Nothobranchius furzeri: one gene and its partners. The protein of the gene in region 1 purifies or fractionates together with the protein of each later gene. This does not show direct contact. Links are inferred from orthologs where the notes say so. Each region holds a gene or a part of one and is shown in the gene's direction. Other genes may lie near its edges. The genes, in order: med19a, cdk8 and polr2k.

The links.
Region 2: the proteins of med19a (region 1) and cdk8 purify together in Homo sapiens (affinity purification with mass spectrometry; 8 studies listed by BioGRID and IntAct, counting the BioPlex papers as one, with this or other methods). This does not show direct contact. The link is inferred for Nothobranchius furzeri from reciprocal best matches to the Homo sapiens genes MED19 and CDK8.
Region 3: the proteins of med19a (region 1) and polr2k purify together in Homo sapiens (affinity purification with mass spectrometry; 3 studies listed by BioGRID and IntAct, with this or other methods). This does not show direct contact. The link is inferred for Nothobranchius furzeri from reciprocal best matches to the Homo sapiens genes MED19 and POLR2K.

The regions. Positions count from the first base shown.
Region 1 is NC_091741.1:91,561,047-91,565,393, forward strand, and holds part of med19a (mediator of RNA polymerase II transcription subunit 19-A), read left to right. Parts: intron 1-1,987; coding exon 1,988-2,121; intron 2,122-2,204; coding exon 2,205-2,301; intron 2,302-2,382; coding exon 2,383-2,477; intron 2,478-4,347. UniProt on the Homo sapiens protein: Component of the Mediator complex, a coactivator involved in the regulated transcription of nearly all RNA polymerase II-dependent genes.
Region 2 is NC_091747.1:51,013,914-51,018,404, forward strand, and holds the end of cdk8 (cyclin-dependent kinase 8), read left to right. Parts: coding exon 1-141; intron 142-447; coding exon 448-505; intron 506-573; coding exon 574-705; intron 706-793; coding exon 794-937; intron 938-1,424; coding exon 1,425-1,494; intron 1,495-1,614; coding exon 1,615-1,687; intron 1,688-1,779; coding exon 1,780-1,877; intron 1,878-1,973; coding exon 1,974-2,052; intron 2,053-2,715; coding exon 2,716-2,874; intron 2,875-3,022; coding exon 3,023-3,148; 3' UTR 3,149-3,367; downstream 3,368-4,491.
Region 3 is NC_091759.1:1,440,280-1,444,194, forward strand, and holds polr2k (DNA-directed RNA polymerases I, II, and III subunit RPABC4), read left to right. Parts: upstream 1-1,959; 5' UTR 1,960-2,091; intron 2,092-2,295; 5' UTR 2,296-2,301; coding exon 2,302-2,362; intron 2,363-2,617; coding exon 2,618-2,710; intron 2,711-2,811; coding exon 2,812-2,834; 3' UTR 2,835-2,930; downstream 2,931-3,915. Other genes in the region: stk3 (serine/threonine-protein kinase 3), read right to left, coding at 1-110, 200-314, 412-540, 630-710, 1,402-1,424. UniProt on the Homo sapiens protein: DNA-dependent RNA polymerase catalyzes the transcription of DNA into RNA using the four ribonucleoside triphosphates as substrates.

The DNA.
Region 1 (4,347 bases):
CTGGAACTATTTGGTTTAATCCCCAATCCATCCCCTTAATGCTGAGTGTCAAGTGAGGAGGCACTGGGTCCCATTTTTCAGTTTTAAGTGTGACCCGACCAGGATTTGAACTCCCACTCGATTCCCGATCCAGTCCCAGGGTGGACACTCAAACCACTAGGCCACTGAACTGATTGTCAACGATTCAATTTGATATCTCAATGCATCACGATTATTTCTTATGGGTTTACTTTCATCAATTAATAAAAGATGTCAGATATTTGCTTTTCTATCAAAACGTGTCTGACGCAACATGTCATTCCCCAAGAAGCCCTTCAATCACAACAGTCCTTAGAACAATGTAAGAGTGCAAAACATTTTAAACATTTAAAAAGATTTAACGAAGAAAACAAAATCTGTTTTCTCATTCAACACTTACATCTCAGGCTGTGGGGAAAAACAAGCTCTGCAAATGCTACCAACATCTTAATAAATACTGAAAACCTACAGGACATGTCCAATTCTTGCCTTCCATAGTTGACAAAATCTGTTATGGGGCCATGTAATAGCTTTGAAGGTCTTTGGAGCAACTTTAGAATCAAATATTTATGCTGCTGTTAAAAAACTGCATTATACAATAATTTATCATGGTGGGCCTTTTCAATGATTTGTAATTAATGTCTGCATCTTGATGCATCGATTATTGATTAATTTCCTCAGCTGTACCTGGTAAATTTCTGAGTTTACTGTGGACTTCAGAAAACACAATGGACCAACACCAGGAGAGGACATGGAGCCCAAATCATTAGATATCAACACCACACCTGGACTTGAGGCTTACTCTGCAACTTTTTCATATTTTTACATCGTTTTCTTTAGCCAGTATGTACTAAAATGACCCTTAGGGTGAAAAAAATGTCACTCAGACCCCCACCGCCCCCTGTGGCCAGAATATCACACTTGCAACTTGTCCGGTCCCTGATGGACTTAGTAAAGTGGAACTGACATGCTTCTTTAGCAATGACTTTCTATGGTTTCCCTTCCTTGTGGTAAAAAAGTTATCCGTGCATCCCTAATTTACATAATAGGTCAGATGAATTTTTTTAAACAAGTGACAAAATACTATACTTTTTCAGGATTTTCTACCTGTATTTGTCATCGTTTAAGCCAGGGGTGTCAAACTGAAATTCACTCTGGGCCAAACTGGAGAAACTAGAACAAAGTCATGGGAAAATGTTTATGGATGCAAATGCTTAAAATTTTCTTTATCTTCTGATTTGTGTTGTTGAATGTTTTATATGGAAACAAACCATAGTCTTGCATTAATAGTTACTCTGGAATAACCAAAGTTTAAAATTAACAACACACGGGCAGTTAACTTTGAAATAAAACACATCAGATGGAAACTGAGCAGAAGCCACAGAGTCAAATTTGAGCGTTTTACTACACCGGAGCTCATTTGGCTCCATTTGGAGGTTGCTTTCTGCGCTTTTCACGTCGGCCACAAATAGATTACTGAGCTGTTGAAATCTTGATATTTGGGCTTCAAAGTTGGCAAATTGCTGGGTGCTAACTAAGCAGTCATTTTTTTGTTTGTCTGAGACCGAATCTGTGGTCTCCAGGTCCGCAGCCGTACCCTCCTCGAGACTGGTAGCATGGATGCTGCTGATAATGCAGCAAAGCATTCTGGGATCTGTAGTATTGGCAACATATGCACTGGCAGGTCAGTTCTCGAGGGCCAGGGTTTGACTCCAGTGGCTTAAGCTATAGTTAATCTAAACCTGCATTCTGACAGGTGCTGGGACTTCTGGGCGCTCTAATGAATTAGACTTTGAGGGCTGAGGCTGTATCTCTAAAACCAAAAGTTTAACTTTCATTGTTTCTGATTTGTTGTTTTTTTTTAGCCTCTTTAATCTCACCTGGACTCCTCACTATGGCCTGTAAATTACACGGATCCCTTTCAGCCACGCTCTTTATTTCCACTTTTATAGTGTCTCTTTTGTTGCAGGTATGATCGACTGTCCGGGCACTCAGGACGGCAGCTCTCTGCGCTCTCTGATAGATAAGCCTCCCGTTTGTGGGAACTCGTTCAGCCCGCTGACTGGTGCTCTGCTCACAGGATTCAGACTACATACAGGACCGGTACCACAACACTGATTATGCCTGATAATAAATGATCATCTTATCCCCGTTATGTAACATGTAGTGTTTTTTTTTTTTTCCAGCTTCCAGAACAGTACAGACTGATGCACATACAGCCCCCAAAGAAGAAGAGCAAACACAAACACAAGCACAATCGACCACAGGACCCCCTCCCACAAGGTCTGGTGGCGTGTTAGTGAGGTCAGCTGAAACAAGTGCTACGTGTTTTTCACCACACTGACACGTCTGTTCTGATTTTAGAAACTCCGTCAGACTCTGATCCCAAGAAAAAGAAGAAAAAGAGGGACGATGATCCTGACCGCAAGAAAAAGAAGAAAGACAAGAAAAAAAAGAAGGTGAGAAAATTTTAAACACTAATTAAGTTTCTAGCTGGGCATTAAAAAGATTTAAAATGTTGACTCGGAATAGCATTGTGACATAAGTCGCACAGCAGTTTTGTTTTTTCATCCAGTTCTCAGTATTAATGAGTACACCCCCTTTGAAGAGTACAAATTTAATCAGTAGCTCAATGAACTAAAAAAATTTTCCAGAATTTTAACAAGGCTGGGTTTTATTAAACACTTGCTTAACTCCATAACATGAAATTAAGGCTATTAATATGACTTGGATCACAAAATCTTCAGTTTTGCTAAAATTGGTTTTAGCAAAAAGGAATACACCCCTCAACAAAAACTACTACATCAAGTCTTCTAGGCATGGCATGAACAAGATGGTGACATATTGCAACATCGGGCTGCATGGTGGCACAGTTGTTGCACTGTCGCTATTTCTGCGTGGAGTTGCGTGTTCTCCCCATGCATGCTCGGGTTTCCTCCGGGTACTCCGGTTTCCCCCACAGATCACAACATGCCCTATAGGTTATAAATTGTAAGTCGCTTTGGATAAAAGCGTCTGCTAAATAAATAAACATAAACATTAACATCTATCTTTTTCCATTCTTCAAGAATAACGTGTTTTATAATCTGGATGCTGGATGGAGAGTGATGCTCAACCTTCAGAATTCCCCACAGGTGTTCAGATCAGGAGACATACTTGGCCATTCAATCACCTTCACCCTGTTCTTCTTCAGAAATGCAACAGTAGCTTTAGATGCGTTTTGGATCATTGTCGTGGTGGAAACGTGCACAATGATTCAAATTCAATTCAATTCAAAGATACTTTATTAATACCAGAGGGAAATTGATTGCTGTAGTAGCTCAGAATAATAATAATAATCAAGTCATCAAAGAGTTATTGTATATTACAATGGCTGTTGGCAGGAAGGATCTCCAGTAGCGGTCAGTGTTGCAGCCAAACTGAAGAAGCCTCTGACTGAAGACACTCTTCCGTTGTCGGACAGTCTTGTGAAGAGAATGCTCAGGGTTGTCCATCATTTTCTTGATTCTCTGGAGAATCCTTCTTTGCATTATCCCCTCCAATGATCAAGTGCATGGAGTGATGGCTGCATCTTCTCCTTCAGTATAGAACAGGACATCGTTGAGTTCATGATGCCATCAATGAAATGCAGCTCCCCAACACCAGCAGCACTCATGCAGCCCCACATAAGGACACTGCCACCACCACCACGTTTCACTGTAGGCACCATGCATTTCTCTTTGAAATCCTCACCTTTACAACGCCATAGTTTTGAAACCATTACTTCCACAAACTGTGATCTTTGTCTCATCACTCCAGAGTACAGAGTGCCAGTAGTCTTCATCTCTTTCAGCACGGGCCCTAGCAAATCCTAGGTGTGCTTTTTGTGCATGAGCTTTAGGAGAGGCTTCCTTCGTAGACAATACCCATGTATGCCATTCCTCTGCAGTGTGCGTTGTATGGTGTCATGGGAAACGGTCACTCCAGTTTGGCTTTCTACTGCTTTAACTAACTGCAGTGAACTTTAATGGTGATTTTCTTCAGTCTTCAGAAGACGCTCCTTTTGAGATGTTCACTTCCATGGACGGCCTGGACGTCTCTGTAAGATGGTTGCACTTTCGTCTTTCTTACATTTTTTGGTCTTACATTTTTTGGTCACTTTTGCTACAGTATTCTGACTGATATGTAAAGCTTGGCTGATCTTGTAGCCCTCACCTTTTATGTGTAAATACATTATTTCCTTTCTCAGATTTTATGACATTTCTCTTCCATGTGGAGCCATTGCTGGCAGCATGAAATGGGAAAGGCTTTCTTTAAAGGGGCATTATGGAAGTTTGACAGCCAAAACAT
Region 2 (4,491 bases), on another chromosome or scaffold:
CACATTATTAAGTTTCACAGAGCGTCCAAAGCCAACAAGAAGCCTCTTCAGCTACCCAGAGGAATGGTCAAGTCTTTGCTCTACCAGATTCTGGATGGCATCCATTACCTCCACGCCAACTGGGTCCTCCACAGGGACCTGGTGAGAGGGTTTGGGGCAAAAGGGGGCTTTGGGTAGAAGGGAAGTAAAAAGATTGAACTTTGTATTAAGTTGTTTTAACTTTAAATTGAATGTTGGTATTTCTTAACAGTATCATTTATTATACTCATCTCTTTCATGAAGTTTAAAATAGACAATAGAATACAAGTTATTAATTTGCCCACTAGAGGGCAGCAACAATTAGTTTAGATTGGATCTTTCTTGCTGTGCTGTTTTCTTGCTCTTCTGTGGTCTAACGGTGAGCTGCTGTTCCTAAATCTTTGTTATCTTTCTGTTTGTCATCATCAGAAACCAGCAAACATTTTAGTGATGGGAGAAGGTCCCGAAAGGGGTAGAGTGAAGATCGGTGTGTATCGTGTTCATTTCTTAAGTAAAGTTTTACTTTATAAACTAACACACGTTGTTGTTTTGTAGCGGATATGGGGTTTGCTCGTCTCTTCAATTCACCACTGAAGCCTTTAGCTGATCTCGACCCCGTCGTGGTCACGTTCTGGTACAGAGCACCTGAGCTGCTGCTGGGGGCTCGGCACTACACCAAAGCCATCGGTGAAACCCTTTTCCACTTCTGCTCTGCACGTGTTTTTTATTGGTGTGGCTTTGACTTATGTCAGCACGTGCTGTGCGTTTCTCCCAGACATCTGGGCGATTGGCTGTATTTTTGCAGAGCTGCTAACGTCTGAGCCCATATTCCATTGTCGTCAGGAGGACATCAAGACCAGCAACCCATACCACCACGACCAGCTGGACCGAATCTTTAATGTTATGGGCTTCCCTGCTGGTGAGACTGTTAATGTGTTGGTGTTACACAAGATTTTTCCAGCTACGATGTTCTGGAAGGAAATGTGATGAAACGCATTATTTTCTCGGTCTTTACTTGCTCTGTTTTTGAATGTATTAATGTGGTCTGTAGACGCCGGACATCAAACCACAGACTTTATACAAGTCACAAACCTAGAGATGGTTGCTTGCAGGCCTACATTTGGACCGATACTTTCCAGTTCACAAAATCTGCTTCACTTTTCCTTTTTTCTTTTCTCGTCTCTGCCGCTCTATTTATTTAATTCACCAGTCAGTTAGAAGGATCACTTTGGTTTCTGCAGAAATTTTGGGCAAATTTGCAGAGTTTAAGTACAAAACCAAAGCTAATTGGTGTAAAAATGAAAGAAATGTTGTTTAATTGTAAGTTGCTGTGGAAAAATAATTTTTTAATTTCTTTAAAGATAAATGATCCTTCGTCCTAACCCTTTGTTGCCTTGGTCTAACAGATAAAGACTGGGAAGACATCAAAAAGATGCCAGAGCACTCCACACTGATGAAAGATTTCAGAAGGAACACGTGAGTCTGCAGACCACTTGTGTCCTGTTTTTTATTTGTTTTAAGATCAAAACAAAGCAAAGTATATCTTAATACACAAAAATTACACACACTTCATAGTTTGCTCCTGTTTTTATACAGATACACAAACTGCAGCCTTATAAAGTACATGGAAAAACATAAAGTTAAACCAGACAGTAAAGCATTCCACTTGGTGAGTTGAAGCGCTTTTGATTTAGTCTTTCTCTGCCTGATATATCTGGTACGGCTTTTTGTTTGACATTAAAATCACGTTATTGATTGCAGCTGCAAAAACTATTGACCATGGACCCCATCCGTAGAATCACATCGGAGCAGGCAATGCAGGACCCGTACTTTTTAGAAGAGCCTCTTCCCACGTCTGAGTGAGCTGCAGCAGATTTAGTTCTGGCTTTTAGCGCGGCTAACGTGCCGGAGGAGACTCCTGAACAGGTTGATGAGGTGTTTTTGCATTCTTCTAGTGTGTTTGCAGGTTGTCAGATTCCCTACCCCAAGAGAGAGTTCTTGACAGAGGAGGAGCCAGAGGACAAAGGAGACAAAGTAAAATTTACTTTACAAACTTATTTTATGAATGCATTTGAATCAAAAAGCAGTGGTGTACGTAGATAATCCTCATGGGCGGGCAGTATAAATTTGGGGTGGCACCAAATTGGTCCCTGTGGCTGTCGATTGCTTCTTTGTTATCTTTCATTTAGAACTAAAGGCCTATGCGTCCGTCATATTTACCTCAGAGTTGAGGAACACAAACATTTAAGAGGTTCATAGTTTTTTTCCGCTTTTGTTTTAAATTTTGCTGTTTTATAATTTTAAGTTTAAAATTTGCCTGTTGTCGTTTGAACAAAACCTTTTTGAACATATTTTTGAAAAAATATAGTGAGCCTCAATGGGATACGTAGTATATAAGCTGTGATAATTTTTTTTTAGTAGAATACATTTATTTGTTAGTGTAAAAATGTATGTCCTAATTAAAAAAAGATGAATGTACAATTTGTGTGAACATGATTGTGATTTATTAGGGAAGGTGGGGGGGTGGTCTTCCCTGGTGGGGGGCAGTGGGGTGGCCACCAATTTACCAGGGTGTGGCCATGGCCCCCCATCCCTGGCCACCCCTTGGAGCACCCCTGTCAAAGCAAAAATGAGAAACTAAAATGTTGTAGTACATGTACAGTATTGTTTAGATTGTTTTGTTGTTGGGTGTTTTAGAAGAACCAGCAGCAGCAACAGGGAAACAACCACACAAACGGGGCGGGGCACACTGGCAACCCAGAAAATAGCCACACCCAGGGCCCACCTGCAAAGAAGGTGCGGGTTGTCCCTCCCACCACTACCTCAGGTGGCCTCATTATGACCTCAGACTACCAGGTGAGCTTTTCTGCTGCTCATCTGGACACACAAACAGAACAGCTTGTGTCCTAAATGCTAAATAAAGAAACTAATTGCTGATGAAAACAGAAGAAATTTGAAGTTTTTACTGACAAAGCTTTTTTTGTTGTTGTTGTTGTTCATGCAGCGCTCTAATCCACATGCTGCCTACCAGAATCCTGGACCAAGCACATCACTGCCCCAAAGCAGCATGGGATACTCCTCTACCTCCCAACAACCACCCCAGTACTCCCACCAGTCCCACCGCTACTGAAACACCCCTCCCACAAATAAACACACACATTTCTAATCTGAACACACACTCACACAGCCATTTCTGTGACCGCCTGAACGAATGTACTGAAGGATGTGGGGATGGTGCAACACCCCACACCCTACCTTCTGAAGGCACTCTGCTGTGATCTGGTAGTTCAGAGAGACAAAACAACTCCACCAGTGTCAGACAACACAATCCCAGTACAGCGTAAAGCAAATCCTCATGGGTGAAAGGCAGATCAAGAGGATAAAAATAAAATATTCCATTAATCAGGCAAAATACAGACGAGCCATCTCCTTTCCTCTGCTTCAGTTCCCCTCGTCCCGTCAAAACTTGGATGAGACGAAAGCTGCTACGTGACTGCCCACGTTAACAGATTCTCAGTCCTCCTATTTGTTTTGTTTTTTTGTGTGTAAGGGGCCTCCGCTGAGGACTGAACTGCGGCAAAGCAGGCTGGGAGATTTTTGATCTCACAGCTGTGGGATGGAGGCTTTTTTTGTTCAGAAAGGACAGAGTAAGGATTTTAGTAGTTTCTAATTTAATCTATTGTCATGATTTTGTTTTCATGACAAGCGTAACACAGCAGAGTGTGTGAGTTGCTGTGTACTGTGAGTAAGCCTTACAACATGACGACAAAACCAACTAATCGTATGGAGGATGGCAGATGGAACATGCATTGTACTGTATTGCATTTAAATATTTTACATGAAACAAGTATCCTGACAATAAAAGTGGAAACATCAATTTTGGACCAATTTCAGTGCATTTTGTCATTCATCATTTCTTTTACTCTGTTATTGTTTTACAATAAGACATATTTTACAGTATAATACACATTTTTATATAAAACGTGTCAATAAGTACATGTATTGAAAAAATAATGCTTATAGAAATTATGTTGCATAATTTAGCACACATAGTTTTGTGCTGTAATGTCCATTTAAAACATATTTACTGTAATCAAATCAGCAACTTGAAAATGGGATAAAATGCTATACTAAATTCCTTTTGAGGACCCAGTATCCCATTAGTCATCCCATACCAGCTTTATTTATATAGCACTTAAAACACCCACAGGACCAAAGTGCTGAACACAAAAACATACATCAAAGGACATAATCAAAAGGTAAAAACCAACTAGTCACTAAGAGTTCAGCCCTGTATAGCCCTTTATAGCAATATTGTTATTGCAGTCACGTTTCCTTTAATTTCAACATTAATTTGTAATTAAATGCATTTCTAACAAATAATGATCTGTTTTTCTTTTTAACAGCAGTATTATCATTTGAGACCTGTCTAAATGATGGGAAGTCCTTCAGCAACGCCCAACTCTTAGCCCG
Region 3 (3,915 bases), on another chromosome or scaffold:
AGAAGGATGTTTCCCGCCTTGATGTCGCGGTGGATCTTTCTCATGAAGTGAAGATACTCGAGACCCTTCAGTGTTGACTTGAGGATGGTGGCAATCTCCTCTTCTGTCAGCTGACGTGGGAAAAAAAGGAAAATACAAAAGTAAATCAGCAATTTAACCTATTTTATGAGCCAAGCTGTAACTTTTTAGAAACGCGCACCGTTTTGTTTCTCAGCCTGATGATGTCAGAAACAGAGCCGGCTCCGCAGTACTCCATGACTATCCACAGATCTGTGTTTTTAAAGTAGCTGCCGTAGTATTTCACAACATACGGGCTAAGAGGAAGGCAAACAAACGTGGTTCTAAAAAACTGGTGCAAAGGCGACTTTGGACAGTCTCATTCATTAGAATTAAAGAAAGTTGGGGTGTCACCTGTCACACTGCTGCATGATGGAGATCTCCTTGATGATTTCCTGCAGGTCAGACTCCACAGGAACCTGCTTGATGGCCACCACCTGCCCTGACTCTTTATGAATGGCTTTAAATACACTGCCATAGGAGCTGATTACACAAAGAAATGCATCTTTTAAGTGAAACTACTAAATAAACTATGATTTACACAGTAATTAGATCAAGTTAAAACATCTCACCCTTCACCAAGTTTCTCTAAAACATCAAACACCTCCTCCGGCTGCTTGGTCAAGCTGTCCTCGCTCAGCTTTTTCAGCTTGCTGAAAAATTCAGCAAAAATATTGTGTATTTAACACAATGTCTCTTTAATAATGGAAGAAAGACACAATATTTCTTTATATATGCACATCAAAGTTTATTTTATAGAGTAAACATTACTTTCTGTAGGAGAACTTGAGTGTGTGTTTATAACTTAAGAGGAATGATGAAAATAATTGATGAAATCTAGATAAAAATACTGTTTAAAAAAATTTTGAGATATTTTTGGTCTTTGATCATAATCTGGATTTAATGCAACCTAGTATCAATGTACACAAATTAAACAGATAATAAACAATTTAATCCTACTGTCTTATAAAATTTAAATACATTTTAAATTTAATTAACTTAAAAGGTGCTAGCTTAAGCTAACCAGTAAATAGATCGGTCCAAAATAAAGTAAACAGTTACTTCGAATAAATTATGATTTTCCTTAATACACATTTAATTTATTATATATTTTTGAAGCGACAATGAAATCACCCCCAACGACGCGAAATCCAAAAACGTCTAAACAATTAAACAAACCATAATCTCAATGGAGGTTTTAACCGGTTTTGTGTTTTTACTTTCTGCTTGTTTATCTCTGTGGAAAGTTTGAGAGAACTGAATTCGCTTAGCATTAGCATCCTGAGCTACCGCCTACATTAGCCTGGTGGTAAAGCAGAGGTCTCAAAGCAAACGTTCACAAACCTTTTAGGCGCGGACGGCTCCATGGTACACCAACTCGGAAACAAAAGTCAAACAAAGTATGAAAAAGAGAGCGCGGGTTTGTCAGTGGTAGTCAAGACGTGGACATTGTCGGCAGATTCGTTGTTGTCACAAACTAGTGGAGGAGGGCCAGCTGGGGGGAGCTCTTCAAATGATGGACATTCTTGTGTTCGACGCTGCGACAGCGCCCCCTGTCGGGACGGAAGCGCACTTTACATTGTTTTATTTTACAAAAACACAATTACGAATCAGATTGACAATGTTTGGCTCGAGTCAAAAACAAAAACTCTAAATAAAGTCTAATTTATTCATAAGGTCCCAAAAGAATACTAAATTAAGCCAGAATTTGTAGCGTAACGGTAATTGAAAAATGAAACACCCGTGTTGTGGATTTGCTTTCAAGAGGATGTTGTGTCAAGACAGGAACATTTTTAGTATAAAATATACAAAAAAAAATTCTTTGCTTCCAATTTTTAAAATCAGTTCAGATGTGTTTCGAATAATTCACAATGCCTCAAAACCGCTGGGTGACAGTAAAGGCACGTAAAGCGTGTCGATCGTCCTGTAAAACCAAGAAGAAGAAATTTGACGCAAGCGCAGAAACCCAATCGTAAAAGCGGATGGTTTAGTGTGTGAAAACAGTAAACATTTCCCAAATTACGCAGTTAAACGGTGAGTCATTTCGCTTCCTTTCATCAGTAATTAACTAAATGCATGTACACGGTTTAATTTGTGCTCTGTGCGTATACAGTTTCACCAAATTCAGAGACGTTTATGCAGTTTTGAGCTAATGTCCGGAGCACCATGCTGTTTCTGTTAGCATGCTAACAAGAAGAAGGGTTGTTGATGAAATGTTTACATTTCTGTCTTTTATAGAACAAAATGGACACACAGAAAGATCTACAGCCGCCCAAGCAGCAACCAATGATCTACATTTGTGGAGGTTTGCTGATGAAGCAACTATCATTGCAATTCTTGATGGTTTTATTCACGAAATATAGAAAAGTCATCAGAAAAATACTAGTTATGACTAATTAAAACATATTTCTTATTAGTAAATATTCCATTTTAGCCTGACAGCATGTAAACGTCGATTGTTAATGTGTTTGCACAATTATACTGTTCTAAATTAATTTTGCAGCAGTTCTGAAATACATTTATATGTCTTTATAAATGTATATATTTTTTTTTTATGCAGAGTGTCACACTGAAAACGAAATAAAGGCCCGCGACCCGATCAGATGCAGAGAATGTGGCTACAGAATCATGTACAAGAAGAGAACAAAGAGATGTATCCTTTCTCTCTCTCTCTCGTGTGTGTGTGTGTGTGTGTGTGTGTGTGTGTGTGTGTGTGTGTGTGTGTGCTTATTTTCCTTGACTCATTGATTCCAGTGGTTGTTTTTGATGCACGATGAAGAGGAGTGGAGCTGCAGATTGATCTTTAGTTGTTGTTTTCTGTTTTTATTGAGTCTGACCTTGTAAATAAACATAAACTGGGGCTTCAGCTTTCATGTTGGTGTAGATTCTCGCTCATTCGGGTCGTGGCATTCCTAAATTGCACTTCTTGCTGAAACATCTTAGAGCAGCAAGATAAATTCAGCCTTTTTGGTTTTTGGCATCCGCGGTTTGTGTCAGGTGTTCCTTATGTTATTTTAGTAAATAATAATGATGCATAAAAGTTTTATTTTAGAAAAATCAGTTTGATTTGACTGTTTTCTTTTAAAATCCTTTGTGGCCAGCAACATTAACAGGATGAAAACTCTTCAGTTAGTTTAACACATCTGCTAAATAGATATGATCCACAGTCATTCCTGAAATAAAAATCAACCTTTAGGATTTAAATTCAAAGTTTTAACCACATTTCTCTAAGAAGGAAAATTCTCATCTGCTGGCCAACAATTCACAGATTCACCAATGTTTTTTGGTTTGTTTATCTGAGAGCACGTTGTCGTGTTTATTTTAAAATTTTCATAATCTTGTTAAATTATGGGGTCTCATTTCTAAGTGAGACTTGTTTTAATCAAACATGCAAGAGAAGAAATTAGTAACAAGAATATTTAGTTACGAAGAAGATTGTAAAAAAAGTGTCTAAATAAAATGTGGAAAGAAAATCAGTTTCTCAAAAACGTTTGACTCAAAAATATTTAAGTGAAGAAAAGGTTTTTGTTAGCTTTTACAAATTCAATTCAATTCAAGTTTATTTATGTAGCGCCAAATCACGACAAGAGTCGTCTCAAGGCACTTCACATAATAAACATACCAATCCAGGTCAGTTCATTAAGCCAATCAGAAATAATGTTTCCTATATAAGGAACCAAGCAAATTGCATCAAGTCACTGACTAGTGTCAGTGACTATACAGCAATCCTCATACTAAGCAAGCATAAAGCGACAGTGGGGAGGAAAACTCCCTTTTAACAGGAAGAAACCTCCAGAGAATCCTGGCTCAGTGTAAGCAGGCATCCTCCACGACTCACTGGGGATCGAGAAGACAGAG